Linked DNA regions of Arabidopsis thaliana. The protein of the gene in region 4 interacts with the protein of the main gene of each other region in a pairwise test. Each region holds a gene or a part of one and is shown on either strand. Other genes may lie near its edges.

The links.
Region 1: the proteins of ARF6 (region 4) and IAA8 interact in a two-hybrid assay, tested with the Arabidopsis thaliana proteins (3 studies listed by BioGRID, with this or other methods).
Region 2: the proteins of ARF6 (region 4) and IAA11 interact in a two-hybrid assay, tested with the Arabidopsis thaliana proteins (2 studies listed by BioGRID).
Region 3: the proteins of ARF6 (region 4) and IAA28 interact in binary tests that used the Arabidopsis thaliana proteins (3 or more experiments, as listed by UniProt).

Annotation. Positions count from the first base shown.
Region 1 is NC_003071.7:9,632,907-9,640,043, reverse strand, and holds IAA8 (indoleacetic acid-induced protein 8), read right to left. Parts: upstream 3,665-7,137; 5' UTR 3,407-3,664; exon of another isoform or gene 3,237-3,406; 5' UTR 3,168-3,236; coding exon 3,147-3,167; exon of another isoform or gene 2,939-3,146; coding exon 2,421-2,938; intron 2,324-2,420; coding exon 2,094-2,323; intron 1,998-2,093; coding exon 1,856-1,997; intron 1,770-1,855; coding exon 1,708-1,769; intron 1,629-1,707; coding exon 1,585-1,628; 3' UTR 1,299-1,584; downstream 1-1,298. UniProt on the Arabidopsis thaliana protein: Aux/IAA proteins are short-lived transcriptional factors that function as repressors of early auxin response genes at low auxin concentrations.
Region 2 is NC_003075.7:14,139,615-14,145,993, reverse strand, and holds IAA11 (indole-3-acetic acid inducible 11), read right to left. Parts: upstream 3,860-6,379; 5' UTR 3,707-3,859; coding exon 3,447-3,706; intron 2,993-3,446; coding exon 2,724-2,992; intron 2,632-2,723; coding exon 2,499-2,631; intron 2,408-2,498; coding exon 2,346-2,407; coding exon of another isoform or gene 2,317-2,345; exon of another isoform or gene 2,256-2,316; coding exon of another isoform or gene 2,251-2,255; coding exon 2,066-2,250; 3' UTR 2,025-2,065; downstream 1-2,024. Other genes in the region: AT4G28650 (Leucine-rich repeat transmembrane protein kinase family protein), read left to right, coding at 1-1,343, 1,424-1,839; ABCB23 (ABC transporter of the mitochondrion 1), read left to right, coding at 5,099-6,379. UniProt on the Arabidopsis thaliana protein: Aux/IAA proteins are short-lived transcriptional factors that function as repressors of early auxin response genes at low auxin concentrations.
Region 3 is NC_003076.8:9,029,082-9,035,777, reverse strand, and holds IAA28 (indole-3-acetic acid inducible 28), read right to left. Parts: upstream 2,575-6,696; 5' UTR 2,299-2,574; coding exon 2,171-2,298; intron 1,980-2,170; coding exon 1,668-1,979; intron 1,405-1,667; coding exon 1,340-1,404; intron 1,247-1,339; coding exon 1,224-1,246; 3' UTR 638-1,223; downstream 1-637. UniProt on the Arabidopsis thaliana protein: Aux/IAA proteins are short-lived transcriptional factors that function as repressors of early auxin response genes at low auxin concentrations.
Region 4 is NC_003070.9:10,683,817-10,693,280, forward strand, and holds ARF6 (auxin response factor 6), read right to left. Parts: upstream 7,173-9,464; 5' UTR 6,221-7,172; coding exon 6,178-6,220; intron 6,092-6,177; coding exon 5,973-6,091; intron 5,888-5,972; coding exon 5,789-5,887; intron 5,696-5,788; coding exon 5,639-5,695; intron 5,555-5,638; coding exon 5,399-5,554; intron 5,315-5,398; coding exon 5,230-5,314; intron 5,141-5,229; coding exon 5,050-5,140; intron 4,967-5,049; coding exon 4,802-4,966; intron 4,721-4,801; coding exon 4,598-4,720; intron 4,518-4,597; coding exon 4,442-4,517; intron 4,350-4,441; coding exon 4,202-4,349; intron 4,121-4,201; coding exon 2,883-4,120; intron 2,802-2,882; coding exon 2,611-2,801; intron 2,526-2,610; coding exon 2,309-2,525; 3' UTR 2,006-2,308; downstream 1-2,005. UniProt on the Arabidopsis thaliana protein: Auxin response factors (ARFs) are transcriptional factors that bind specifically to the DNA sequence 5'-TGTCTC-3' found in the auxin-responsive promoter elements (AuxREs). Seems to act as transcriptional activator.

The DNA.
Region 1 (7,137 bases), on a different chromosome or scaffold from region 4:
CTTGATTACTAAAATTGTAAATTATGAATTAACTATTTTCAAAAAATTTAGTTTTTTTTTGTTAAAATGTTTTTAGGACTGAACTATTCTAGTTTTCATATAAACCAAGTGTGAATATATATAATAAATTCAAATAGATGACATTTATAACTTTATATATTTTATAACCAATGTTTTGATATAAAATTATGAAAAATAAAATAAAAATGAATAAATAATATGTTAACGTTTAGGCCTCGCTACTCTCTTTGAGTATTGGTATTATTACCAAAGTCAAATATCATAAGCTTCTCTAAAATTAATTTGATCAATGAAAAAAAGAATTAGTGGTTCATATGAAAGAAAAGCATTAACAAGACATATGACTGTGACTGATATAATTGTTCTTACGAATAGCAAAACAATCAAATTTGAAAATAAAGTCAACGATGAAGTGCACTAACCACAAACTCATTTAGAAGTGCTACATTTGTGCAAATCACTGAGTCCCATTTGATAAGACTAATTTGACAGCTGATGTCGAATATCTAAAGAAAATTAATACTCTTTTAGATGTAGGGAAGAGGGAATTAGAATATGAATACTAACATTTAAGAAAAAAAATTAACTTCATATAAAGTGAGAACTATATATATTTTGTAGCAATACATGTATTGTATTTTATATATCAGAAAAATAAAACACATAAATTGCAAATACAAAAATAAATCTTGGTTTTAGTTTATGAAACTTTACTATAAAATAAAATAGTGTGGATAAATTTGGAGCTCAAAGATAAATAAAATTAGATGTTAGTAAAAAAAAAATTTACAAATACGAGTTAACAGAGCTCACAATTCTCAAAAGAAGTTTGCTAAAATTCAAATTTTTATGCGTCACATTCTTTTATTATCTTTCCTTCGTTTGGGTAGCTATGTTAGCATCTACCTCTATTAGAAGTATGAGACTATAAATTTGTCAAACTCTATTTTGCTCACTACATAAATGTTCTCCTTTCTCTCTATCTCATCCACTCTTGCTCCACATGTATTTGATATGCCCTCTATTTCGGTAAGGTGAGGTTTATTTATCTACTCTTCCTACTCACCAGTCTTCTTTATACGTTATTATATGTATGTTACAAAAAAATCGAAAACAAAAAAAATATATATATGTAGTTACATTTTTTTTTTGTTCTTCTAGTATTTAATCTGTAAGAATATTGTAGAAGACACTATTGCGATTAGTCTAAAGCTTATCCAGATTTACACACTTTCATGTTTTAAAGATAATAACCATCATTTGAGATTCCACTTTGTGTGGTTAAAGGTTCTTTATCGTAATTATCACTTATAGACTTTGGTACTAAGTGCTAACAATAAACAAATCAAGATTTTGCGTAGAGACGAAATATCTTGAAGGTCAAAGTAGAAACACACACATAAGAATGTATTTGTTTTGAACAAGCACACACAAATAAGAGAATCCAAAGTCTTACAACACAAATTAGTAAAAAGACTAAAGAGTTTTCAAACACATCAGTAAATAAAACTTAAACATTGGAACTGTGCATAGTGTTTTTTTTTTGTCTTGAGCATCTTCGTTTCAAACCCGCTCTTTGTTCTTCGATTTCTCCACTGCACCTGGAGCTGCCACAGAATAAATCAACAATGAAATGAGCCATTGAGTTTGTATTCAGATTAGGGGGAAAGATGTTGGAAAACTTACCTAAGCCAATAGAATCAGAACCCTTCATGATCTTCAGTTTCTGGCATGTTTCAGTAAATATCCTGCAAATAGGTTTTAACAAGGATTCAACTTTTGAACGGAAACAAAACCACAGTTATTAAAGCTGAGAGTTCCAAAAGAAGCTTACTCCCATGGAACATCGCCAACAAGCATCCAATCACCGTCTTTATCTTCATAAGTAAGCACAAATTCTGATCCATGAAGAAGATCCTTCAGTTTAATCTCGCTCATTCTTTCCCTCCCTTGAGCACCATGAAGACCACATTGACCTGAGATCACAAACAAGAATCGAAATCACTGTTCTTTGGTTCATTCTGTTTTACAGTAGAATCAATGATTAGCTTAAATACATAGTAAATTCTCACCAAGGGTGAAGCAGCTGAACATTTTCTCAAGTGCAGAAGACAACTGTTGATAGGAAGTGTAAGTTCTCAAGTCGACCTTTCTCAGATACGGAGCACCATCCATGCTCACCTTCACAAACAGAACACCAAGACCAGGTTTCCCATCAACCTCATCAGTGTTCTTCGAAGTAGAAGAAGCCATTGTATTCTTCCGGTATGATCTGATTGGAGGCCAACCAACAACCTGTGCCCTGCAAAACAATAGACACAGATTACCACAAGATTCGTTCTTGACTCATAAACAAACTCATAAACAAACTCATAAACAAATCATCATATAATACACACTTGGCAGCTGGTGCATTGTTCAAGCCACCCTTAGCATGAGATCTTTCTTCTTGAATACTCTTCGAGACATCCTTAACTTTCGGCGACAACATCATGTTGATTCCTCCTCCAGGTCTAACAGATCCTTTCACACCCGAAAACTCATCCCAAGTGTCAGCAAATCCTCTCTTGTTACCAGAAACAACATTCTTATGCCCTGTAGTAGCAGAACCATTGTCTTTAGAAGGTAGCAACGGGAAGAGAAGCTTCTCATCGGGTGTTCTCGGACTCAGCAAACCGAAATCAGTCTCTCTCTCAGGAGATTGAGACTCAGGAAGACCTAGCCTCAGTTCAGTAGCTTTGAAATTGAGATTGCTCTTCCCAACAACATTGGGAATAGTTGAGCTATCAACAGAGGAACAATCAGAGAGACCCAAGTAGTTACGTTCTTTCAAACAAGGTGACGTAACCAGTTCATCCTTATCCACACTTAGCAATCGATAAGACATCAGATCTTCAATATGCAGGACTTGTTTTATCTGCTTAGCATCACAACAACAAGAAGAACAACCCAAAATCAATCTAATTACATAAAAATCTTCACTTTCTATAGATGCATGAACAAAATTCTCAATTTTAAGAAGAACCCAGAAAAATTAGGGTTTCAGATGAGAATTGGGTTAGATTTGCTTAACAAGTAAGATAAAGTTAGAAACTTTAACCTAGGTTTCATAGCCAGAATTCAACCTTATCGTTCCCAGAACTCATCTTCCCCAAAATCAATCACTTTCCATTCAAAAACCAAAAATTTCTTACTCTAACTTCTTCAGCATTTCCCTAAAATTCAGAATCACAACTAAATCACTTACTTACGAGAAAAATAAACTAAACCCAAATGATAATGAATCCAAAGAAGCTACAAGAACCAAACAAACAAACCCAGATTGAAAATTGAAACTAGAGAAGGAGGTTTCAATAGTTCCTTTTAGAGAAATTGAAACTAGTACCTGAAGAGAGAAGAAGAACAGAGTACGCAGAGGATCAAACAAACACTAGAAAGAGAGAGGATAGTGAGAGAGAGAAAATGCACGAAGGGAAGCAGAGAGGTCAAGGTCCGTCCATGGAAAATGAACCAGAGAAAGCTAACAAAAGCGCAACAATCAAGAAGAAGAGAGAAACAAAAACATGGAAGGAGTGGTAAATTTAGTAATAAACTACAAAAGTAAGGGTATTAAGGATAGATTAGGTTTGTTCGTATGTGGTGTGGAGTACTGTAGTTAGATCTGACGGTTGAGAATGAGTAAGTGAGAGTGATTCTGAGTCGTTAGATCTAATGGAGAAATAATAATAAATACATGTCGTTGTTATAGGTAACATGGTTTCAGGTTTCTGTTTTGTAAGGAAGCTTAAAAAAACATGAAAATATTATTAATTTTAATTTGATTTATATATTTGAAATGACTTTTTTTTGTCTCTGTTATTCTTTTTATTTTATTTTGTAGGTCCACAAATAACATGCGTGTGTTTATTATATTTTATTAAAATTATTATATGGTTTTAGCAATAAGTAAAATCAAATCAGATTGTTTTATGGTATATTTTCTTTTGTTGTTGTTAAAATGATTTAGATAGAAATGGGACCATCCAATATTTAAGAGGCTGAGTGGTCTAAAATACCTATAAATTTAATATGTTTTCCATTATAATCAGAGTTTCAATAGTTATGGGACCACGTATCGGTTTAAATTTTGTCTGTCTAAAAATATGCATACCGCCAATGAAAATTACAATGGATAAAAAAAAAGTAAGACAGAGCATTTAACAAGTGGTAAAAAATGAAAATTTACGAAAAAGAGTGTTAAATATTCTTCTACTCGTTTATAATTATGGGCTGAGAGCAATTAGCAAAGGAGAGTGATGATACGAGAGAGACAAGAAAGCAGCAATTGAACTTTGTTTTGCCGGCTGCTTAATATGCTCTACTTTTGGTGTGGTATAGTTATGAAATGTACAATAATAGATACCATAATTTAAGTAGACTCACAACAAAAATCAATGTATAATTATTTAGTTAAACTAGTGAGGAGATTGCACGAGGAACAAAATTCTAAGAACACAATCAATGTGAAAATGAGAGCAAATGAAAATAGAAGTGAAGAGTTGTATATTTGAAGAAGAAGGTCATGATCAAAGAGACACGTTGGAAGCACGCTTAAAGAGAAGGGAAACAACCAAATCAGGCTTTGCAGCTTCACTGTTGTTCACATGCCTGTCACCTAATTCCATCATCACCCGCGCTCTTCCTTTCTTTCACATCATACGTCACCGTCCCGTAGCTATACCATTTATCACCCTCTTGTCTCCCACTCTTTTTATTGTTCTTGTTTCTTTTTTTTATGTTCATTTTTTTCTCACTCGAAGGTTAGATTATATTAGAGAACCCATTATATTACTAAGATTTTTTTTAATGTTCATTACTTCATGTTTTTTTGTCTCTATAAACAAAATTCATTCTGTTGTTACTAGGGGTGTCAAAATGGGTAACCCAACCCAACCCAACTCATAATCAAATGAGTTTATGATTAAATGAGTTATGGGTTGACCCAACTCATTTTGTTAAATGAGTTGGGTCTAACCCATAACTCATTTCATTTGATGGGTTGAGTTGTTAAATGGGTTAACCATTTAAATAATAATTTAATTAATTATTATTATAAAACAATAATAAATAATTATCATCATCATTAATTCATTATTATTAAATTTGAGATATTTATTGATTCAGAAATTTTTACGAGTTTACATTTTTAGACGGTAAAATTACGAGGTTACGTTTTGTGACGGGAAAATCACGGGGTCATGTTTTTTTGGCGGGAAAATCACGAGGTTACGTTTTTTTGGCGGGAAAATCACGAGGTTATTCTCATCTTCTAGTGTAAAGTAATCCCACATATCTGATGTTCTACTTCTTTTAAAACGAGAAGCACTTACTAAACTTTTAGATTGTGATGTATCTGCTGATGTTTGCCCACCTTCACCACCATAAGTACATTCGTCTTCATTGTCCATTTTTTGTAAAAGATCAGCTGCAAATAACTATACATAGAAATAAGGCCAAGTTAGAGATTGCTTAATAAAACCTGTTATTAGCCAAATACAAGAATTAATCACATAGACACAGTCAAAGAATCAATAAAACAAAGAGAAAAGAAGACTGTTTTGGACAATACGACAAGCATATGACTAAATACGATTTTTGTTAGCTCACATCAAAACAAAGAGAAGGATATGACAATACGGCAAGCATATATCTTCTTTCAGCTTAAACCCTTTACCGAAACAAACACATAACAATTTGGCAATCACATCAAAACTATCAGAAGTAACTAATCCCAGAACTCAAACTTCATCGCTCAAGTACCACAAACTAGAAGAAGACTAGTCTATTAAAGGTAGAGCCATTCAAATAAAGTGAAAATTAACCATATAAACAAGCTTCAGAACTCTAGAGCAACATTGAATACGCTTCTACCATCACTTAAGTTAGATCCTGAACATGATTAAGAGCTAAACAACACTAACGCATACAGAATCTGAACTTTCACGCCAATTCGAATGAAGAAAACGAAAAAGTAGTTAGAAATGAGAAGGGTCCAGTGGAAACATACCTCACCCTTTTGACCCACTACAAGCACATCATCATCGTCGTCTTCAATTGAAGCAGTCTTCGTCGTCTTGTCAGTCTCCGATGTGGATGAGACCGGTGGAGAGTATAGGTCGAAGTGGAGGTCGAGAAACGATTGATTTTGTAAATTTGGGGATGATTTTATTAAATTGGTTTAGATGTGTTGGTTAAATATTGGTTTAGAAATTTTAGTTGGTTTAATTCAATTTTACAAAATTTGATGGGTTAATTGGGTAAACCACTAAAACCATTAACCCATTACAACCCAACTCATTTTACTCATCAAACCAATTGACTCATCAACTCATTTGACCCATCAACTCATTTGAGTCAAAAATTTCAACCCATTAGGGTTCATGGGTTGAGTTGAGTTGAGTTGACCCATGAATTTTGACCCATTTTGACACCCCTAGTTGTTACACAGTTGATTTTATTGGTAATATGCATAATAATAGCGGAATGACATTTTCTAACGTAATTATACAAAAAAATTATCAGTCAAAAATATTTGCATAACATTTAACAAAATAGAAAATTTGTGTTTTCACCTAAAAACACTAGTAACAATTCATTATACAAATATGTAGATATATACTTGTTTATGATATAAAATCTTATTCCGCATTTTTGCAAATGTATCTAATCGACACAAATTTTTATTTTACAACTTTTCATTCTGCAAAATTTTATTATACAAATAGAGTCATTATGCAATTACGAAATATTACCAATCAAATTTATACAATTATTTTTTGATTCTTGGAGATTCCTGACCAAATCCTAAGCTAATTTTCACAACATTTATAATGTTGGATTAAAACATTATGGTTTGGTTTAAAACATATAATGTTGGATTATAATGTTGGTTTAAAACATTATGGTATGGTTTGGTTTATAATGTTGGATTAAAACATTATGGTTAAACATTATAGATATTAAATTTACCCTATTTTCATGGTTTAAAACATTCACGTCATAATTGAAATTTGAACTTTAGTTCTCCACAGCCATGATAAATTATTTAACCACTATACATACCATCATGAGTTTGGT
Region 2 (6,379 bases), on a different chromosome or scaffold from region 4:
GAAGCTACAGAGACTCGAACTAGCCGGAAATCGTCTCAGCGGAGGGATCCCTGGAGACATCTCCGATTCAGTTTCACTTTCTTTCATTGATTTCTCAAGAAACCAGATCCGATCATCTCTCCCTTCCACAATCCTCTCAATTCACAACCTACAGGCGTTTTTAGTCGCCGATAACTTTATCTCCGGCGAAGTTCCAGACCAATTCCAGGATTGTCCTTCACTCTCTAATCTCGATCTCTCATCAAACACTCTCACTGGCACTATCCCTTCAAGCATTGCTTCATGCGAGAAGCTCGTAAGCCTCAACCTAAGAAATAATAACCTCACCGGCGAAATCCCTAGACAGATCACGACAATGTCTGCATTAGCAGTGCTAGATCTCTCCAACAATTCCTTAACCGGAGTACTACCAGAGAGCATCGGAACATCTCCAGCTCTGGAACTCCTAAACGTCTCATACAACAAGCTCACAGGTCCAGTCCCTATCAACGGCTTTCTCAAAACCATAAATCCAGATGATCTAAGAGGAAACTCCGGTCTCTGCGGCGGCGTTCTACCACCGTGTAGTAAATTCCAAAGAGCAACATCGAGTCACAGTAGCCTCCACGGGAAACGAATTGTCGCCGGATGGTTGATTGGGATAGCATCGGTTCTAGCTCTAGGGATTCTCACCATTGTTACGAGAACTCTGTACAAGAAATGGTATTCTAACGGATTCTGCGGCGACGAGACGGCGAGCAAAGGTGAATGGCCTTGGAGATTAATGGCGTTTCATAGATTAGGGTTTACAGCTTCCGATATCTTGGCATGTATCAAAGAATCAAACATGATCGGAATGGGAGCAACCGGAATCGTGTACAAAGCAGAAATGTCACGATCAAGCACAGTTCTCGCCGTGAAGAAGCTCTGGAGATCTGCCGCGGATATTGAAGATGGAACCACCGGAGATTTCGTAGGCGAAGTTAACCTCCTCGGGAAATTGAGACACAGAAACATAGTGAGGCTCCTAGGGTTCTTATACAACGACAAAAACATGATGATCGTATATGAATTCATGCTCAACGGAAACCTTGGTGATGCGATTCACGGCAAAAACGCCGCCGGGAGACTTCTCGTTGATTGGGTTTCGCGTTACAACATCGCGTTAGGTGTAGCTCACGGCCTCGCTTACCTCCACCATGATTGTCATCCTCCGGTGATTCACAGAGACATCAAATCCAACAATATCTTGCTCGACGCGAATCTCGACGCCAGAATCGCCGATTTTGGCCTCGCCAGGATGATGGCGAGGAAGAAAGAAACCGTTTCAATGGTCGCCGGTTCTTACGGTTACATTGCTCCCGGTAAGGTTTAAATACCATACCGATTACTAAATTGATTACAATCCGGTTTAGTCTAACAACATATGGTTGATCATTTGCAGAGTATGGATACACTTTGAAGGTGGATGAGAAGATAGACATATACAGCTACGGCGTCGTACTATTGGAGCTGTTAACCGGAAGAAGACCATTGGAACCGGAGTTTGGAGAATCAGTAGACATTGTGGAGTGGGTGAGAAGGAAGATAAGAGACAACATATCACTAGAAGAAGCATTAGATCCTAACGTAGGAAACTGCAGATATGTGCAAGAAGAGATGCTTTTAGTTCTACAGATTGCTCTTCTCTGCACTACAAAGCTCCCGAAAGACAGACCTTCGATGAGAGATGTGATATCGATGCTCGGAGAGGCTAAACCGAGGAGGAAAAGTAATAGTAATGAAGAGAACACTAGTCGTAGCTTGGCCGAGAAACATTCATCGGTTTTTAGTACTTCACCTGTAAATGGCCTTCTTTAGTATGAGATTTAAGAATCAAAAGAGGCCGATAAACTGATTCGTTCGATTCGTGTTCTGTATGTAGAAGAAAGAGAGAAAGAGAGAGAGATATGTATCTTTTGATTTAATTTTTCCATGTAGAATAAGTTTCCTTTGTTTTACATGATCATATTAACTTTGTGCATTGCTCTGAACCGTTTTGTTTTTGTGCAAGAAAGGGTTTTCTTATAGATTTTTAAAGTGTGATTTACAAAGAGAACATATAACTAACTAAAAGAAAAATGGCAGAGCCAAAAAAGAAACTGTAAAGGGGAGAGAAGAAGAAGAAGCTTCTTACAATGTTTTTGTCTTCTCTTTGATCTGTGATCTGTCTTATTACTGCTTCAAACATAAAGGGTTCTTCGTAGATTATTATTTGCTTCATAATATCATCTGAGCTGTAAACAAGGATCACACAAACACGGTCACAACGACAAAACAATGATTTTAATACAGATATCAGGATTTGATCGAATCAGTAAATGTACCTTTACCAGTAGCCTCCGATGTTTTCATTATCCGGAGCCTTCTCACTGAACCAATAAACATCCTAGACACAAGTAAAACTCAGGTTCAAACTTCAGAATTTGACGCTTACACGGGACAAAGCATCAAAAGCATAAGAACATATGTATGCATACCCCCACGGAACATCGCCAACAAGCATCCAATCTCCTTCCTTGTCTTCATACGTTAGTACTAATCCGGAAGACCCATCTGGTAGTATCTTGACCGGTGTTTCCATGTGACCATCGGTTTCTAGTGTGCGTGAACCTGATTAAAGAAAGAATCATAACTTCATTTCCCATACCAAGAACCAACTTCAAAGGAACCAAAAAAAAGGCCATGAGATTCGAAAAGCACACCTAATTTAGGTTTCAGAAACATTTCCTCTAGAGTGTTTGACAATGATTCATAGCATTTATGAGCATTCAGATCGATTTTCCTTCCAATAGGAATGCCATCCATAGTCACCTTAACAAACATGGAATTTCTCATCTTTGTTGAATCACTTCTATTCTTGTTTACGGCTTGACTTATCTCCAAGTTCGGATCTTCAGTGGCTGAAGCCTTAGCTTGGTTAACCATACTGTTCATTCTGTAAGTCCTTATTGGTGGCCATCCCACAACTTGCCTGCCATTTTCAAAGGTTTCAAATTGCTCAAATAAGAGTAAACACATAAAAAGGGTTATAAACACTTCAGGGCCTTGTAAAATCAGATACCAAGAGAATCACTATACAGGATTAATCACTTTCTCTCCAAAGCTAATAAATACTTTAGAATCCAAGAAGAAAAAAACTGTCATCTCTAGAAAACGATAGTAAGATTCAATTTGAAGATATAATGACCAAAGCAAACTATCTAATGATCAGGAAGATACATTCAAAGTCATCTATACGTAACAAAGGTCGAATCTTTTCAGATAACTGTGATCAAGGACATTCTGTCTAATCAATCCCATAACCATAAAAAGCAAAAATCAAATCTTTATTTATAGTTCTATTGATAATCATGATATTAAGAATCCCCAAATAAACCATAATTGATCAAAATGTAAAAGAGGAAAGGGAAGAGAATTTCACTCACCCACTAGTTGCAGCCATGGAATCAGCTGTCCTCTTGATCCCAGCAATTACGCTAGCTCTGCTCAGAGAAGAAGATGATGAAGAAGAAGAAGAATCATCAGCGTAAACCCTACAATCTCGATACCCTTTGCGACCAAGGCTCAACGTAAGACCAAGCTCAAGCTCATTCCCTATAGGAGAAGAAGAATCCTCACAAGAAACGACGAGATTTTCATCGTTTGACAAAGCCGAAGCCGATCCACTAGCGGAACCGCCTTCCATTTTCGACAAAACCAGAAGCTGAGAATTAAGATTTTGATTGTGAGGGAAGGGAGGAAAAAGAGATGGGTTGAATTTGAAGCAAAGATTGAGACTTTAAGTAAGGCAGAAACAGTGAGAAAGAAAAAGGGAAACAAAGGATGAACAAGAAGACACGACGGGTGGGATTTGTCTCTTTTTCACTTCCCTAACTTTTAGTCTTATTTCTCGCCCAATTTTATCATTTTTTTGATCCAATAATAAATTTCTCACATTATTCCGTGACTATATTTACTAGAAACTCTTTTTTTTTCCTTCTTTTAACAATATCCACTTATGTAAGTTTTTAAAATAAAATATGTGGACTTTTGGTATAATTATTTCAATTTTTCGTAAGTTTATATAGGGAAGTTTTACAATTATGCGAAATTCCGTTGTAATATATTTATAAACTTATAATCAATTAACGATAGGATTAGATGCCAAAAAATATAATGGACAACATGATTTTTCAAAATGTATATTATTGTATTAATGTTCAGATTTTTGTAGTTGGTATTTGACTCCAAAATCTGATATAAGATCGGATAGATTTCAAAGAAAATTTGATATCAAAACGGTAGTATCCGTGGTATTAATAAAAACATTTTTAAAAGGCTGGAAAATAAAATAAAAACAAAATTCATACAAATATATATTTTCAAGAAGTGGGGGCTCACATGTCAGCTTCATGGGATTCAATCGGACGGCTAGAAAAAGATTACTTAGAAGGCTTAGTGGGACCCACGTGTACAGAGAGGGGGGACTCGTGCCCACACGTCCTTTGGTCCATCCATCTTTCCAAATCGGACGGTGCTGATTAGTTCCGGTTTAAAGCTATTGATAGTTAGATACCATCACTATATAGGTTTAATTAGTATTTTAAAATCAAGTGGCAATCTAATCTTTAATCACGTAATTAAAATTGAATTTTTAAGGCAATAAAGGAGTTTAGCTGTCCATTTTTAGTGGTGTCCGAATAAAAACCCTGTCGTCTGGAGGGAAGACATAACCGACCGTTGCTTCTTTTCACTTTCCAAATAAACCGTTCAATTTTTTAATTAATTGCATATAGTAGAAGAGTTGAATTTTCGAAAGAGTCCATGTGAGAGAATGAATACTCTGAGATTCGCTGCGGTGTGTACCACCGTATCTGATTCTCTCAAGCCCAGTTGCAATCAAACCAGTACCGGTTATCTCCGAGATAGCTAATTTCATTATCTTAATAAAAACAGAAAACCAAAACCGGTTATTTCCGAGTTGATATCTTCTTCCTCGTCTTCTTGTTAAGCTACTCTGTAGTACAGAGAGAACAAAACAGAGAATTAAAGAATCGATTTAGACCAAATTGTATGTGATTCGTTCGGACAAGAAGCGATGATGAGGGGATCTCGGTTTCTCCTCTCTCGCGCTTCTCTGTATCACCGTCTTCGCTCTGATCATCACCATCACAGTTTCTCCAGTTTTATCAAACGTAGCTCAATTCAGAGATCACCAGCTATCAATGCATTCTTCACCGATCCATCTCCATCTCCATCTCCAGTCAACGCACGAGTCTTCTTCTTCTCAACTTCAACTTCAACTCCAAATCAAGATCAAACCAAAACAGCATCATCTAAGAAGATCCTCCGCACGATTTCAAGCTATCTATGGATGAAAGACAACCCAGAACTCCGATTCAGAGTCATCGCTGCTTTAGCGTGTCTCATAGGAGCTAAGTTCTTGAATGTTCAAGTTCCTTTCCTCTTCAAATTATCTATCGATTTACTCTCTTCATATTCATCTTCAACAATCACTGATTCAAATCCTTATCTACTTGCTGCTTTCGCTACTCCTTCTTCCGTTCTCATTGGCTATGGCATTGCTCGATCTGGATCTTCAGCTTTTAACGAGCTTCGTACTGCTGTTTTCTCCAAAGTATCTCTCCGCACAATACGATCTGTTTCTCGTAAAGTGCTCTCGCATTTACATGATCTTGATCTTCGTTACCATTTGAATCGAGAAACAGGAGCTTTGAATAGAATCATTGACCGTGGAAGTCGCGCGATTAACACGATCCTCTCTGCTATGGTTTTCAATGTTGTTCCAACGATCTTGGAGATATCAATGGTCACAGGTATATTAGCATACAATTTTGGACCTGTTTTTGCTTTGATCACTTCTCTTTCCGTTGGATCATACATAGCTTTCACATTGGTTGTGACACAGTATAGAACTAAGTTTAGAAAAGCTATGAACCAAGCTGATAATGATGCAAGCACAAGAGCTATTGATTCTCTTGTAAACTACGAGACTGTTAAGTATTTTAACAACGAAGATTACGAAGCGAGAAAGTACGATGATTTACTCGGAAGATATGAAGATGCTGCATTGCAAACTCAGAAGAGTCTTGCGTTTTTAGATTTTGGACAGAGTTTTATATTTAGTACAGCTTTGTCAACATCAATGGTGTTGTGTTCTCAAGGGATTATGAATGGAGAGATGACAGTTGGTGATTTGGTGATGGTGAATGGTCTTCTCTTTCAATTGTCTCTTCCTCTTTACTTTCTCGGTGGTGTTTACCGTGAAACCGTTCAGGGTCTTGTTGATATGAAATCATTGTTCCAGTTGCTAGAGGAGAGATCCGATATTGGAGATAAAGATACAGAGACAAAGCTA
Region 3 (6,696 bases), on a different chromosome or scaffold from region 4:
TGGTTTTGGGGTTGCTAAACGCTTTGGAGGTGATGATGATGATTTGAGATGGAAACAAAAGATTATATTCTTAATTGGTAAAGATAAAAATTTCATCAGCATACGGTATATTTTTGAAGAAAAAAAGTTTGAAAGAAAGTTGTGAGACACAAAATTTATAGGAGAATTTTTAAATTTTAAATTTTATTTACTAATTTTAAATTCATTATTTCTTTTAAAATAATGTTTTTTTACCTATCTCGACATAATTGAGTTTTTCTTTGGATCATCAATTAGTAGAGGTAATCGGACCATTTTCCAAGTTGGATTAACGGGTCAGCGAATGTTCAACCTCTGATAGACTGATACTATGTTAAGTTTCATAGATTACTAATTCCAAAACCAATTGACAATAAGTAAAAACTCATATAAATATATATATATATATATATATATATATATATTTATATTAATGAAGTCTAAAGTCGTTTTCACCATCTGAGTTCGAGTAGTATTAGCCACCAAAATTTAAGTAATTTAACATGGTTTTTCCATACTCCATAATCAATTTTTGGGTGTATGAAATTTTTAAAATTATATGAGTTATAAAAAAATAAAGTATCTTTCTCCCTACTATCTTTACTCTAAATACTATTTTAAGATATTACTCGAGTTAATTACATGTTATACCGAAATAATTCATGAACATAACAAGATTACAGTTCATGAAATAAATGGTTTGTCTTTTGTGAAATAAACAATTGGTACTCATGTGTGTTACAAAACAACAATTTTTTTTGGATGGTGTTATAAAACTCGAACCCACCAAACTTGGATAGCCTCTTGTATCTATTTCTCTATTATTTCGGGTAATCTTTACTCATACATAGTAAACAGGCTCTCTGGATTTTTACCTCTCTGAAAAAAACATAAAATGAGTCGGTTTGATTTCGCTAATTAAATACCATTTTCCCTACTAAAAAACGAAACGAAGGCATGAATCATATCAGGCATTGTAATCAACTTACGTGCTTACACTATTTTTATACACACGATAACATACTAACCCCCGATTTCTTAAACGAACAGCATATTTACAACCAAAACAAGAAATAACATAGCAAGCAAAAACCTAGTACATAAGTGAAAAAGAAAACCAGTAAATCAAAGCCAAACCCCATTAGTTTCCACAAAAATTACATTAAAAACAAACCATCGAACTGATGATTTTGGCCAACCTCTCTCTATTCCTTGCCATGTTTTCTAGCTGTGAAAAAATAAATAAATATATAAGTTAATTTCAAGGCAGTAATTAAGTGATGAGATGTATGAAAAAGTTTCGTAAGAATTGTAATCTTACGTGAGAGTGAGAAGGCGTGGGAGGTCTTTAAAACATGCAACCTCTTTACAGTAGATACAAACATCCTAACAAATAAAGTAAACTATATCATTAATATGTCCAATGATTCAAATTATTATCAGATAAATATCCAAAAATATGACCTTTAAAGGAAAATAATAATCTGATGAGAAATGGCCAAACTCTTTTTAGGAACTCATACTAAAAATATTTGTTAAATTCGACAAAAACAAAAGTAGATAGATATAAAATGAATTTTTGATAAAGTAAGTTCATATTCAGTTCCAGAAAAAAAAATGGAATTAGTTTTGTTTGATTTAAAACTTACTCCCAAGGAACATCCCCGACCAGAACTTTATCTCCTTCAGTGTCTTCGTAGACCAAAGTGTATTGTCTGTTTAGATCCCACGAATCTTTCTTAGAGAAGAGTTGGTCAACGGCATGTGAAAGCTGTTGGTAGTTGTTATAAGCTGAAAGGTTGACTTTTCTTCCTATTGGAACTCCTTCCATGTTGATCTTAACGTACAATTCCTTCTCTTCATCACTCTCCTTCTTCTTCATCTCCTCCTTTAGTTGTGCCGTTAGGTTTCTCCGGGATGATCTCACCGGCGGCCATCCCACCACTGGAGCTACCTCAACCCTGTTTTAGCCATATCTAGTTATAACATATACACAAATACTTTTTGATAACTAGATACCGAAACCCAAACTAATCTCCGAAAACTGTAGAATTACCAGGATTTTGTTTTTTATTTTTATTTTATTATCATATAAGACATCTACAATGAACAAGAATGATTCAAATCATTCATGAGAAGAGATTAAGAGAACCTGTTATTGGAAAGGAATGATGTTTCTTTGGTCGAGCTTTTTTGTTTAGATCCATTGATGTTGTTGTTGGAAGTGAATTGGTGACAAGGAGGAGCTAGCCTTAGCTCCAATCTCTTTTCTTCTTCCATTTTTCTAAGTTTGTGTTGTGTTTTTGGTGTTGGGGAGTATTATTATATGGGTGGTTGGCAAGGAACTACAATCCCAATCTTTTTATAAAAGTAGTCTCTTTATATTTTCTAATGAAAAGAGATTTTATTTTGAATTAATAACCACCTAACAGATCCTACTTGTATGGTTTCCGTATGTCAAAAATGCGTTTACATACGTGTATGATTCTACGAATGTGATGCGGATTGATGGGAGACACACATATATTATTTACAACGATTACTATTATATAAAGAGAATAAATTTATATGATGATCATTAGAAAAATCCAATAGACTAATTTAGAGTTATAGGTAGGTGGTTATCAAATTAAAAACCCACTTAGAATATATGGTAACATGGTTCATAGCCGTGTGGGGTCTCATACTACCGAATAACTCTGATTAATTACAAAACATATGATTCCAAAAATCTTAGATGTAATCACCAAATTATTACGCTGTCTAGACGTGTCCATTATCATTCTAATTCGATCCAAAAAGATGTGGGTAACCGAAAATTACCAAAGAACTAAAATGCTACCATAGCACCAAAGTCAAAATGAATATCCAACACATACACATAAACCAATTTAAACAAAGAGATATATAAATAACAGTGATTAGTAATACCCCTTTATTAGCTAGTGACATGAATTAAAATCATATTGAAAAATGAAAATGAATGCTATTCTTACTTAGAAAATGAAAACTATAATCATATAAACTATGTACAATTGCTTCTCTTATGCATGACATTTGTAACACATGTATTTTAGAAAATTCATGTATGTCACCGTGACTCATGAGACAAAGAAATGTATCATGCATGGTTGTGTCATCATGTGATCATCAACATAGTCATCATATGATCATCTCCACACCCATTCTTGGAGAGTAGAGGCCGACATAGAAAAGGAAACAAGAAAGAGGAAAGAGATTCCTAGGCATGCTTAAATGAGTACCTACCAATAAAAGGAGTAAAGTAGTAGGTTTTCGTTTACTAACCTTCTTCTGTTTATTTTTATTTGATATATAAGTACTGCAAATATTAATTGTATGTATACTTAGAATTCCACTACAAATTCTCTCTTTTTTCACGAAAAGTCCACTACCAACTTGGTTTTTGTTACTCTAATTTGGCCTCCATAATGTTTGTCCTTTTTTTCAAGTTACATAATCGATTGATTTACGGAAATTGCCAACCCATGAAAAGTCATCTTAAACATAATCAAGTATAACTTTAGAAATATATCAAGATGGTTTAAGGATCTTTCAACTCAATCTTAAAAAAACTTAATAGCTATGGCATATAATCAAATAAGCTGTAATTTGATTAGTGAAAATAACTAAAATGGGTCAACGCTCAAAATACTACAAATAAAACTGTTGAAATAGACACATAAAATTTGTGGCTATTTCACAGTTTCTTATAGTTGAATTGGTTTATACTTATCTTGTGTCTTTTGTCTAGAAATTTGTGGCAATCTAGAAATTCTCTTTTGTCTTTTGACCTTTTTTCATGGGTCATCACCTATTTGTTTTATTCTTTTTAACTCGGGGCAAAACAATTTCTTCAGCCGATTTATATTAATTAACCGAGAGTCCGAGACCAATATACCATGACTAATCATCACACTAATAATGACAGAGCTTATAGTGTAATTTTTACTTGATTCTGACCCTGCACATACGTGTATATAAATATAATGGAATACATTTTTAGTTAAAAATATTATAGTGTATAAATTATAATATGCATAGAACAGTGTACAGTGTTAATTATGATAAAATAGCTAACTTTTTTTATTAATTTATATTATTTATATTTTATTTATATTTTGCATGGTAAATATATTGTTAGATTTGTTTGGATTTGCTGAATATATAGAGATATTTGGAAAATCTGTGTATTTTTGTTAGTTTGATGTATATATAAATTGATTGTTTTTGTTTGAAATTTGATCAATTAGATGATATAATGTAAATTTAACTCCGCGGTACACCGTTGGTCGATTTTTTGTAACTAAAAATTCAAATTTTAAGATATAGTTGTTTTGTAAATATTGTTTATTTTGTTTAGTGTTTAAGATTATATAATTATGTTATAGTTATTAATTCTAAGATTTTACTCGTAGATTATCGTCCCGTATTAATATCAACCCAAACTCGTTCCACCATATAACTTCATTCCGTAAAATGAAAATCATTTTGTTATTTTTAAATATTGTTATTCTAATATATATAAAAATCGACGGATCGACATGTGGTACATCTTGGATTAATATATTTAAAAATAATTTGTGATTTACAAATTTATGATATTGTAGTATATAAAACCAATTTTTAGTGTATACCTTTCAATAAGATGTAGTTTTTATAATTAAAGTATAATAGTATTTGGTCTTTATGTTAAATAATAGTATTTGGTTTTTTTATAAACTATTAAATTAGTTGATTTTAGTTAAAAATAAAAAATTAAATTAAGTTATATTTGTTTTGTTTATTGTTTAAGATTGTATAACTATAATCTAGTTTCTTATAATCTAGTGTTGACCCTGAAACAAAAATCCATAAGAATACGCATAGATGGATAGTAATATTAGAAGATAAACATCATTAGAATATGAAGTACTTTACTTATGAATCTCTATATATTGTTTTAAAGAATCGATATTCTAGATTGATTGTGAGGCAATGTGAATGTATGCATAACATTTATAATTATAAGAGATGGATTGTACGGAAAATTAGATTTTAATTTGGATTCAATCTTAGCTTTACTGAATAAACTAATCTGAATTGCGTTTTTTTTCAATCTAAAATTTACTATAATCTCAACAATTTTGGTATTTTTTGATCAAACTTATCCTTATGCATTATCGCAAATATGGTAGTTATTATTGTTCGAATACAATTATTGATCTGTCAAAATAATCATATTACTATTTGTTCTTAAAAAAAAGTCATTCAAATTTAAAAGAAAAAATATTTTTGGTGTGAATCAATATTTTCTCATTTTGAATATTTGCATTAAAAATTTTAAACATTGGTATTTTAAACTCTGTTTTATTGTTTAAAAAAAAATCAAATCTAGAAGAATGAATATTCTAAAAGCTTGTATCTATTATAATACGTTTAAAAATATATTTTCTTTCATATAATTCAAATTTAGCTTAGCGATATATTTTTAAAATAATGAAAATTACATGTTTAAAAAAATCCTTTAAAAGTTTATATCATTTAAATTCTAATTAAAATGTTAAATATTTGAATCTATACTGATAATATCTTCTAGATATTTACAAATCTAAAATCCAAAAATTATCTTTTGAATATGCTAAATCATAACTAAAATCGTATTTTTATGTGTACTAATGAGAAACAATTAACATAGTTTTGTTAAAGAAATTGTTTAAAATCTAAACTAAATGATAATTTGTTATTAAATTAGATTAAAGTTTCCGAATTATCTAATAACATATTACCAAAATAAATAAATTTTCATATATACAATTCGAATTAAAATAGCCTGATATGTTATGGAAATGTTTTTAAATGATTTCCAAAAATATCGGGTAGTTATGAATTTATTGATTTTAAATTCAATTTTTTAAAAGAACAAAATCCAAGATATTTATTTAGTTGTTGTAGTTGTTAATTTACTAAATTACCTATGCAAAGATTCATTTAGTTAATTTTAAACTACTCTTAGAATGTTGTAGTTCATACAATGCTTTCCAATTAATAATATAGATTAGTTTGTTGTCTTGTTATAACTCGAATTTAGTTTAGAAATATGTGTGTTACTTTGTTAACAACATAAAATAATTTATATGATGCGTAGGTTAATGCTAACTAATCTGAGAAACTAAATTTATCTATGCTCAATCATACATTATCTAATAATTTTAGAAAAATATATGTACGAATCAATATATAATATATTTCAAAACATTTTGGTAGAAATAATGTATAAATAATACAAATTTTCAAATTAAGAGTTATATAAATTTTATCAGCTTTTTGTTAGCTAAACAATATAAAAAGAATTTTAAACATCTAAAATCCAATTAACTTAAACATTTTATCAACGTAATTTTAGACGGATAAATCTCTATATTGTTATTTTTATAGCAAAACAAATAAAAATAAAAATAAAAATAAAATGGCAAATAATATGTTCCAAAAGAAGAAGTTATGATGAACATCTTGGTACTAAACTACTAATACTCGGTACACATTTAGGCATGCCTCTCATTTTGAAAGAAAAAGGTTAAGAACCAGTATAGATGTTCAATGAATGTATAACCATTCTAACAAAAAGAAATCAAACAATCATCATTATCATAAATAACTTTGCTACTAATAGAGGGCCAC
Region 4 (9,464 bases):
TTGCTTAGGTTGTGTAGTTTTGTGGAAGTTATGACATATAATATTCTAGATTGGATCGTTCGTTAACAATGCATGGTTGTACCATCGCATGGAAACCATCCTTACAAAATAGAATTACATATGTTAAAAGGGATCACTCAGTGAAATGGTAACAGAGTAGTTAGTACAACGAAAGGATGGTCCAAAGAATTTTATTTTTTTCTTTGGTCTTACAACTCAAAAAGTGCCTTTATATTTACTTTGTTCAAAAAGTGCTTAGACAATCAATAATATCACATTTGACGTTTTCTGTTCGTCGTTTTTAAAAGAGATAAATGAGAAAGATAGTCGCACAATAACAAATTTCACATATCCACTCAAAACCCTTATCGCTAAAAGCTTGTTTTGGTTATATTCATTTTAAATTTTATACATCTAGATATAGAAATTTAGGATATTATTTCCATTCTACTACGGTGGTACTCTGATTCTGAACACTGGATTTATGGAACTAACAGTGCAAATATCATTTGATTATTTCTACTTGGTAATGAGACCGAATTAGAGATAGTACTACTAGATAAAGGTAAGGTCTTCAATAGCAAACTTTAAAACAAGTTATCCATTCGATCAACAAAATTATTGAAGCTTGAAACGTTTTCCTTTTAAGATCAAATTACGGCTATATATAAGATCTTATCACAATGGACTGATCATGTCCTCTTCCAATGTATATTCATCAATGAAAATAATTTTAATTATAGAGTAATGCACTCATGCATGTTTTTGAATTAATGAACTCAAAGAGTTTTATTCGTCCACTTTCAGCTACTTAATCCCAAATTAAACAAACAAGAATTCTAGATATTAAAGTCATGAAATTCTAATAAGATTGAAATTATATAGTTATGACATCTATCAAGAAAAGACATACGATTCTATGTGTAGTAGACAAAAGCTATGATCTTAGATCTTCATTTGAATATATTCTTAACCATGTAATGAATGGCTACTACATCCTATGAAACTAAAATTAATAATTGATTTTGTAAGATGAAGAAATACCTTTTAAAAGAAGAAAAAAAGGTAAAAAGAAAAGAAAAGAAAGAAGGTGAGAACTTTCAGAATGATGGGTCACCATGCACTATTTAATTAGGGCTCATGAAAGTGCCCTAACTTGTGTCATCTATAAATGTCCCTACCACATGCACCCAACATTATTTTCAACCATTTCCAATTTCTTACTTAGAATATATAGTCCCACCACTAAAGATTTATGTGAGTCACATTCATACACCACACATCAAAACCAAATACTTACAAATATCTCTTTATCAGATTTGTTATTTCTTTGACTAAATATCATATATAAAACATGGTCTTCAATTAATTGGTCACTCTATTATATATATATCCTAATGGACAACCAAACAAAAATAATATCAAATACCAAACTAAATCATAAATTCTTCTTATACTATTCAAATGATGCCCATTTCATAACTTACCTAATCCCATTCCGATAAAACCGAACAAGAAAAAGTTATATTGCAAGATATTTTCCAAATTCACAACAATTTCGATCAATTATCGAAATGACGTTTATTTTCTCAAGTTAATAGGAGTTAGATTTCCTTTTTTACCATGTTATAATATTCTAATTATCTTAACATGAAGACGCAAACAAAAACCATACTCATTCTACAAATTTCGTTTCATATTCTTTGGTGAAAACTAAACTTACTATAAACGATATTGTGAAAAAAAAAACTTACTATAAACGATAAGGGCATATATTAATTTACCTACCAATAAAAATGTCCTACGAACTACGGATCGATACGTGTCTAGAGATAAAGTTTTTGCTGACGCAAAATGAGATCTAATTTTAGGGTAAAGCCCCAAATTGCGGGTCGGAATATTTTGGTGTTTCACACAACAAAACCACAAAACGCTTTCACTTCCAATAAGGAGATTGGGACCCAAATCACTTTCTCTGTGGACCATTTTAGTCAGACAAAGTCTTAATGTAACTCCAAAATAACCCTTCACTATCATATTGATTGAAGAAATGAGTAAGGAAAGTGACATATATAGAGTTCAGTAAAAATATTCATATAAGAAAAAGACCAAAAGATCTTATAATTACAGTATTACGAGTCGACAGAGGGATTATATAGTTTTTGTTTCCATCAAAGGCAAAGGCAAATCTCCCTTTTTTATAAGTAATAAAGAGAGATTTTTGCTAGTAATTAAACTAAGATGATCTCACTACTAATTTATAAGATTGAAACTTAACTTGAATAAAAAGGGAGGTTTCCATCTACTTCTAGTAGTTGAATGAACCCCCAACTGATGCGATACCGTTACCGAGATTCCTCGGGTCTGACCGGTTCCCAAAGTCGTCACAGTTCCCGTTGCTCGGGAGCTTATCGACATTGTTGGAAGATGGCGCGGAGTTGAGAAGCTCAAGGCCTCTTTTTCCCATTTGTTGCACTTCTTGTGGTGACAGTATCTTAATGCACCACACGCTGCTCACAAACTCCCTGTCGATAATGGTAAATGCAGGTAAATAAACATGGAAATGGACAAAACCAAATGCGGAAATGAGGGATAAGTTAATAAACTCACGGCCAAGGGTCATCGCCGAGGAGAAGAACGTCGTTCTCTCGGTCAACAAATACAAGCTGCCAGCCTGATCTCACAGGGTCTTCTAATTGGCCTTCGAGGCCAAACATGCGAGCAAGCTCGCTTCGCAGCTCGTGGTAGCTGCTAAACTTTGATATATCTAACGATCTTCCAAAAGACCCTGACTTGTACACCTACAAAAACATTTCCGGAATCATCGCTATGCATGCAAACAAGAAGAACATTTTGGGTAGGGAAAAGAAATAAAACTTTACCTTCACAAAGGTGTTAGATTGTGGGTTCTCGGAACCGAGGTTTTCTGAGGATTGTAGAAAACCCGATTCATCTATGCAACTAGAAGGTGTTGTCATTGCAAGATTACCCGAGAAATCATTGTTGAAATTAGATGATGTGAAGGGTAAAGTCGTGGAGTCACCACCTTCAATACCAATGCTTCTAAGGTTTGACATTCCGTTCGGCATCAAAAGAGAAGATGAATCTATATTGACTCCAAAGAGAAGATGGCTATGCGGGTCTGAGGCGCTTCCTTCTTGCTCGATCGAGCACTCTCTACCACCGGGAAATGGAGGCAACGAGACAGCGTTTGGAGGAACGTTGCTTGTGTGGGACTGTCCCAGTTGCTCCAATACGGATTGAGTGTTATTATTACCGGCTCCAGAGTGCTGGAACGATGAATCAACTGCAGGACGCTTTGATGGCCAACCGGATGAAGTCATTGCAGAGTTTGTTCTAGTGAGGTGGAGCAGTTGAGAAGATTCGTCTTGAGAGAAGTTACTGAGAAGAGTGTGAAGTGGAGAAATAGGATTGTTTCCTCCGTTGGTATCGGAGAAGCTTTGCTGATGACACAGAGAGGTCATGGACTGGAGTGGTGACGTGTTGGGCTGAGAAGCAGAACCAAATTGAGACATAGCGGAAACAACAGCAGCACTGGACGCAGACGGATTATGATTATCCACTACTTGCTGCTGCTGCTGAGAAAGATGATTGTTTGACTGTGATTGAGCCTGAGACTGAGGCTGGTGGGTTTCAGGAACGCCAAGATACGCCTGTTGCTGCTGCTGCTGAGAGAGTTGTTGCTGCTGCTGTTGAGAGAGCTGCTGCTGCTGCTGTTGAGAGAGCTGTTGCTGCTGCTGTTGGGAGAGCTGTTGCTGCTGCTGCTGCTGCTGAGAGAGTTGTTGCTGCTGCTGAGAGAGTTGCTGCTGCAGCATCTGCGGCTGCACTAAGGACGGAGATTGCATTGAGAACCCCGGCGAATTTTGGAACTGAAGAAGTGAAGCAGCAGCTTTTGCAGGATCAATGCCTCTCATGTCTTGAAGGGCAGCTGCAGCCATTGCTTGGTACACATCATTTTGCATACCAAGCAAGCCCGACGTATCAAGTCTCGGCTGCATCCACGGGTTTACTCCCATACCTTGAAAGTTTAGAGATTGGAGTCCTCGATCCCACATAAGCGGTGAACTCATACTCATACCCATATCATCTTCTTTAAGGCCTGCAACCAAAATTAGAAGATATAAAAGACTAGAAATAGAAACCTTTCAGAGATTTGTTAAAGTTTTGAAATTTACAATACCATGGAAAGATGGGAGACCAGGAGGCCACGGCCGTTTAAGCCTGAGAGGAAAAGGAGATGGATACATAGGGAATGTTGTTAAAGGCTCAATCTCCCACAATGAAACCCTTGGCTGTCTCTCTCCTGCAGTAGATTCGTCCCACCCAACCTGCATTTTGATCAGATGATGAATGATATATGTATACGAGAATGCAAAGACCAATGAATATTTTCTACTAAAGGTTTGGTTTTGAGCTAAACCTTGACAGATCGCCAATGCGAATTAGCCCAACGAGTAGGATCTAGATCACAAATGCCAGTTATTGTACCCATGTACCTGACAACAAACGAAGATTCTTAAGGACATTCAGCAGCAAAAAGCAGAGTAAATTATAGGAACTCTGATAATTCACCTACCGACGAACACTAGATTCTTCAGTTTCAAACAGCATCCTAAACCGCATACCAACAGAGACGCGAGTGTGATAAACCGCTTTCACATACTTAGCCAGGGGTATAACAAACTCTGATGGACTCGCCCTGCAGAAAAACCGAATCCGTTTGATGCAAAACGAAGAGAATCAACACATAAGTGCATTCATAAGGTACTTAAGACGATACCTCGGGTTATAGAAGATGGTGAATCGGCTGTTTGTAGCGGCAGCATGAGCTGCTGCAGCAAGAAGGCCTAAATGCATACTGTCACTTGACAAAACAGATGAAGGCATGACAGTTTGTGGTCGGTTGGCTCGTCTTATACCAAGAAGTAATTGATTCTTATCGTTCCTAGCATTACAAATACTTGAGTCAGTTTCATGATTTGAATGTAACACTTAAACAAAAACCCCAATTTGAAAGATGTTTCTAACCAGATGAAAAGAACAGAGTCACCAGCAACAAGCCTTTTAGCACTCACAAATACGCTCCAACCCGTGGTAAGGAGATGTCTCTTTGGTTGGCCTATAACGCAGAAACAAATACAGATTAAATAAATCTCTTTGTTCTTCAGCTATTAATAAGAACTTGGATTTTTCACGAAGAAAGCTAACCTCGGAAAATATGCCTGAACTTCCATTCATTATCATGCAGATCCCTCGCCATTAACTCTTGAGCTGGTGGCTGCTGCGAGTAATCCTGAAGAACACATAAAATTTTATTGTTAAGGAGGCAATAGCTAATCTTGAAAGTAGAATTCATATGAACAATAAGATGAATTACCAAGGGAGGGAAAACTTTCTCAGCAGCTCGGCGAGGTACAGAAAAACCTCCGTGAGTGCTTGTATCACTAGCAGTCAGAGTTTTACAGAAATAGTTTGTAGGCTGTCTACTTGGGACACCTAATTCCGCGGGAAGGTAAGGATCTTTTTGCTCTTGCTGCATTCAAACCAAGCAAAGAAGGTTCAAAACACCGACAAATTCCACAAAATTAATTATGAATTACATAGTAAAGTCTCATACCGCATTCAACGGTTGCAAAGTCATCTGTGCATAGACTTCATCAGTCTCCACATCAGCCTGAAATGGTAAGGAATCAAGTTCTTAACTAACACACAAACAGAAAAGACACTTAGAAAAGTTTGTCATAAAAACTGATAGTGAGTTCCTTACATGCATTGTAACATTATGAAGCTGACAGATAAGCTGCGGATGCAAGCTCGGATAATTTGGTATATGAGCATCTACTTCTTTGTTGGTCGAAGCAGCAACCTGAAAACCACAAAACATTCTCAAGTAACCTGTAACCAAAAAGGAAAGATTTGAATCCAAATCATAAAAGGAAGGAGACAAAAACCTGTTCACTGTGACCTTGAGGAAAATACACAACTCTGCTTCCAACAGGAGGTAGTGAGACAAGAGGACCAGCACAAGCATGCCAGAGCTCAGAATTAAGAACTCTTTTCTCTCCTGTAACTTTCAATCCAAAACTCACAAAGTTAGTTTAAAATCACTATTTGCTAGAAGTATCAAAGCAATAGAGAGAGAAAAGAGAGAATTACCTTCATGAGGTTGAGGATTAAACCCAGCTGAAGATAATCTCATTTTTTATTCTAACTTAAAAAGCAAACAACAAAGAACAAAAAAAAAAACACAACTTTGTTTCTTCAAAGATCCAAAGATTTCAAGATGCCCAAATGTAATTATGAAGAAGAGACACTAAAAGCATAACTTTTTTAACTGTTTCCCTCCACCTCCCACCCATTCACCAACCAAATCTAAAAACCCTAAAAAAAACAGATTTATTTCTTCTTCCCTGAAATAAATCATCAGCCAAATAAGCTCGCAATCTTGGTCTCGCCGACTTCAAAACCGCTTCTTCGAATCTTCAACTCCTTCATACTTGTAACTTACTTAATCCACCCCACTCATAACTCCCACTTAAAATTGTAAAAAACAAAACTTTGATAGTCGTTTGGGTTTCTCCAGAAAAACCCACCACCGCCAAAAGCTCAGAAGCCAAGAAAAAAAGAAACACAGATCTCGAGCTAACTAAAACGACAGAAGCTGGTGCCGTTTCTTCTTCTATAAGCTGGCTTAATCGAGATCTCAGGCGAAGTATATGATTAATGCAAAGATCGGGAAATGAGAAACAGAGAGATATGGGGCATGCACTTGCTCAACTGTTGCAGAACATGGGTACACAGAGAATAATCAAAGATAGACAAAGATAGAAAGAAAGAGACTGTTTTTATTTTTATGTTGAAGAATGATTTTTTTTTTCCGGTAACGAAATACGGCGGCGACGTGACGGTGCTATAATTATTTGTTTATTCTTCTCTCTGCTAAAGTTTTACTTACTTCTCTCTCTCTCTCTCTTATTTGAAATGAGAATCAGAAGAAGAAGAAAGAACGACAATGGCTGTTTTTTGACCCGAACCCGAACGGAGCGGGTCTTTGATTTTCTTCTAAAGCAACTTGTTGTTCTGAAAGGACACTTAATTTACTAATTTACCCCTTATTTCCTTTTTATTTACAGTTTGGGACTCGTGCCTTTTTTTAATTTATGCTTCTCCCGAATTTCAAAACTTCGTTGCGTCGTCCATGTAATTAAAATTGAGTACTATTATGGTTTTAATAATACGTTATGGTACAAAGGAAAAAAAAAAAAATAATAATACGTTATGGTACCATCATATATTATAGTATTACATGATCGTATTTCTTACTCTTTTTTTTTTCTTTGTCATAGTAGTTTTATAAAAATTATGTGTTGTTGTAGATTTTTTTCAGCTAGTGGATGACCAAAGGCTTTTTTATACTAGAGTTTTAGTGAACTATTGCAAATAAAATGAATCAATTTGTTTTAGGAAAAATATCATTGCTGTAGAAATCCTTTGGTTTACTGGTCAAGGTTTAAAAGTTCTGTTTGGAGTACATAAGTACTCTTTCATTGGCTATTTTATTTTGCCTCATTATTTGATTGTGTAATGTGAAAATGGAAGTGTGCGAATTACAGCAAAATTTATTTTATATAGAATATAGCAATAAGTCAATATATATAGACAGTGAAATCACCTGATAAAAATGACAGGACGTGCTTTTAGGGTTTCCTGATTCTATTTTTTTTTTTTTTATGTATATAATAGTAGTTCGAATTGCATGTAGAAGAGGGTATAATTGGTAATATATATGTATAATACACACTTCCTCGTTTGGAAATTTGCGAATCTGATTTCTTCAGCTATATATTGTAATAAAGAATATACGTGTTTTTTCTTAAGATTCCAATAAATTTTAATTAGATAATTTTATCCGAAAGAAAGAAAAAAATTTAGAGAACATGAATTTTGATTCCAAACAATGGAGATAGTGATCATTTACCTAGGGGAAATGACAAGACTGCCCTAAGAAGGCACGTGCAACTTCTTGACGTAAACAAGGGTAACGTTGGAAACAGCATTATATACAAATAGATCAGTACCATCGCCATATCTTTTGTAGATTTTATTTATTTATTTGTATTAAATTCAGTTGCATTATTGTCAGTTGCTAGAAAATTCGGCTAATGTGTTTTTATGCAAGAAAGTGATATACGTACATAAAACATCAGCATCAAAAGTATCCAACTAGCATTTGTTTATGCAACTAATTCTTAAGCAAAACCTTAAAAATTTGCGACAAATTAGAAACGTAGCTTATAGCTAGTACCCTAGTGCTTGTTTATTATATACAGAGAACATGTTATACAAAATAACAGTTATTACTTAACATTTTCCCACACAAACAAATATAAAAATATAACAGTTATTAGTTATTATATACACTAGATTTCACAAGTTATGTTTTAAAAAATGGATATATAGAATTATGGGTGAATTTAGTGAAAACAATGGAAGATTTCAGAATTACTTAACATAAAAAATTAAAAATGACAAATAAGGTGACTAGGTGAGTAATAAATAATTAAAAATTCGCTTTTAGAGACATCTTCTCATTTCTTTTCTTTTTTGTTTTTGTTACTTCATATTTCTCTCTCCCCCCTATTTTACAAATAATTTATTTAGTATAATCAACATATGTCAATTATCATGTTAAACTATTAATTTTTGTTATGTTTCAATATGAAACTAATTTTGAAGGCATCATCGATTATATGTCATGTATATAACAAAGCGTAGATTTGTAATTTTTGTAATGATGTTCCTAACATAGTTTCCTGGCGGCCAAAATAGTGCTTCTTAGTCATACTTGATCAATTCTGCTTACAAAATCATTCATTGACTTTTGTCATTCTCGTATTCGTATTGCAATGGAAATCAATTTTGATATGAACCAAAACGAATTTGTGAATGGTCAAATTCTTTTAACTAGCTATCACACCACTCTATACGTTTTGAATTGGGTCACAAGATTCTCAAAAGCGAAATCTTTCTTTATTAAGAACAGCCGGTATGTATATACGAATATGTATTAATATATTTCTGTCGGCGATATATACAAAGTTGAATTGACGGGTAATATATATTATTAAAATACGTATAGGATAGATTTTCGACGTCAAAATAGTTATGTAGATACTATTATATGCGTAAGAAGAAGAAGAATAGGACAGTGTATGGTTGTCCCTAGAAAGAAAGGAAGTGAGCGGTGTACGATGATGGTTATGAAAACAAGGAATGAATCGTAGCCGTTGGATCAAAATTACGAGTGGGCACTCACATGAGTTGGAGATGGGACGTGACATAATACTAAAAACGAGAGAGTAGGGCTTCTTCCATTGGTCTCTTTCACAGTACTTACGGTGTTCCATCGCTACACGCAATTACCCTTCCCTCCCCCACACTGA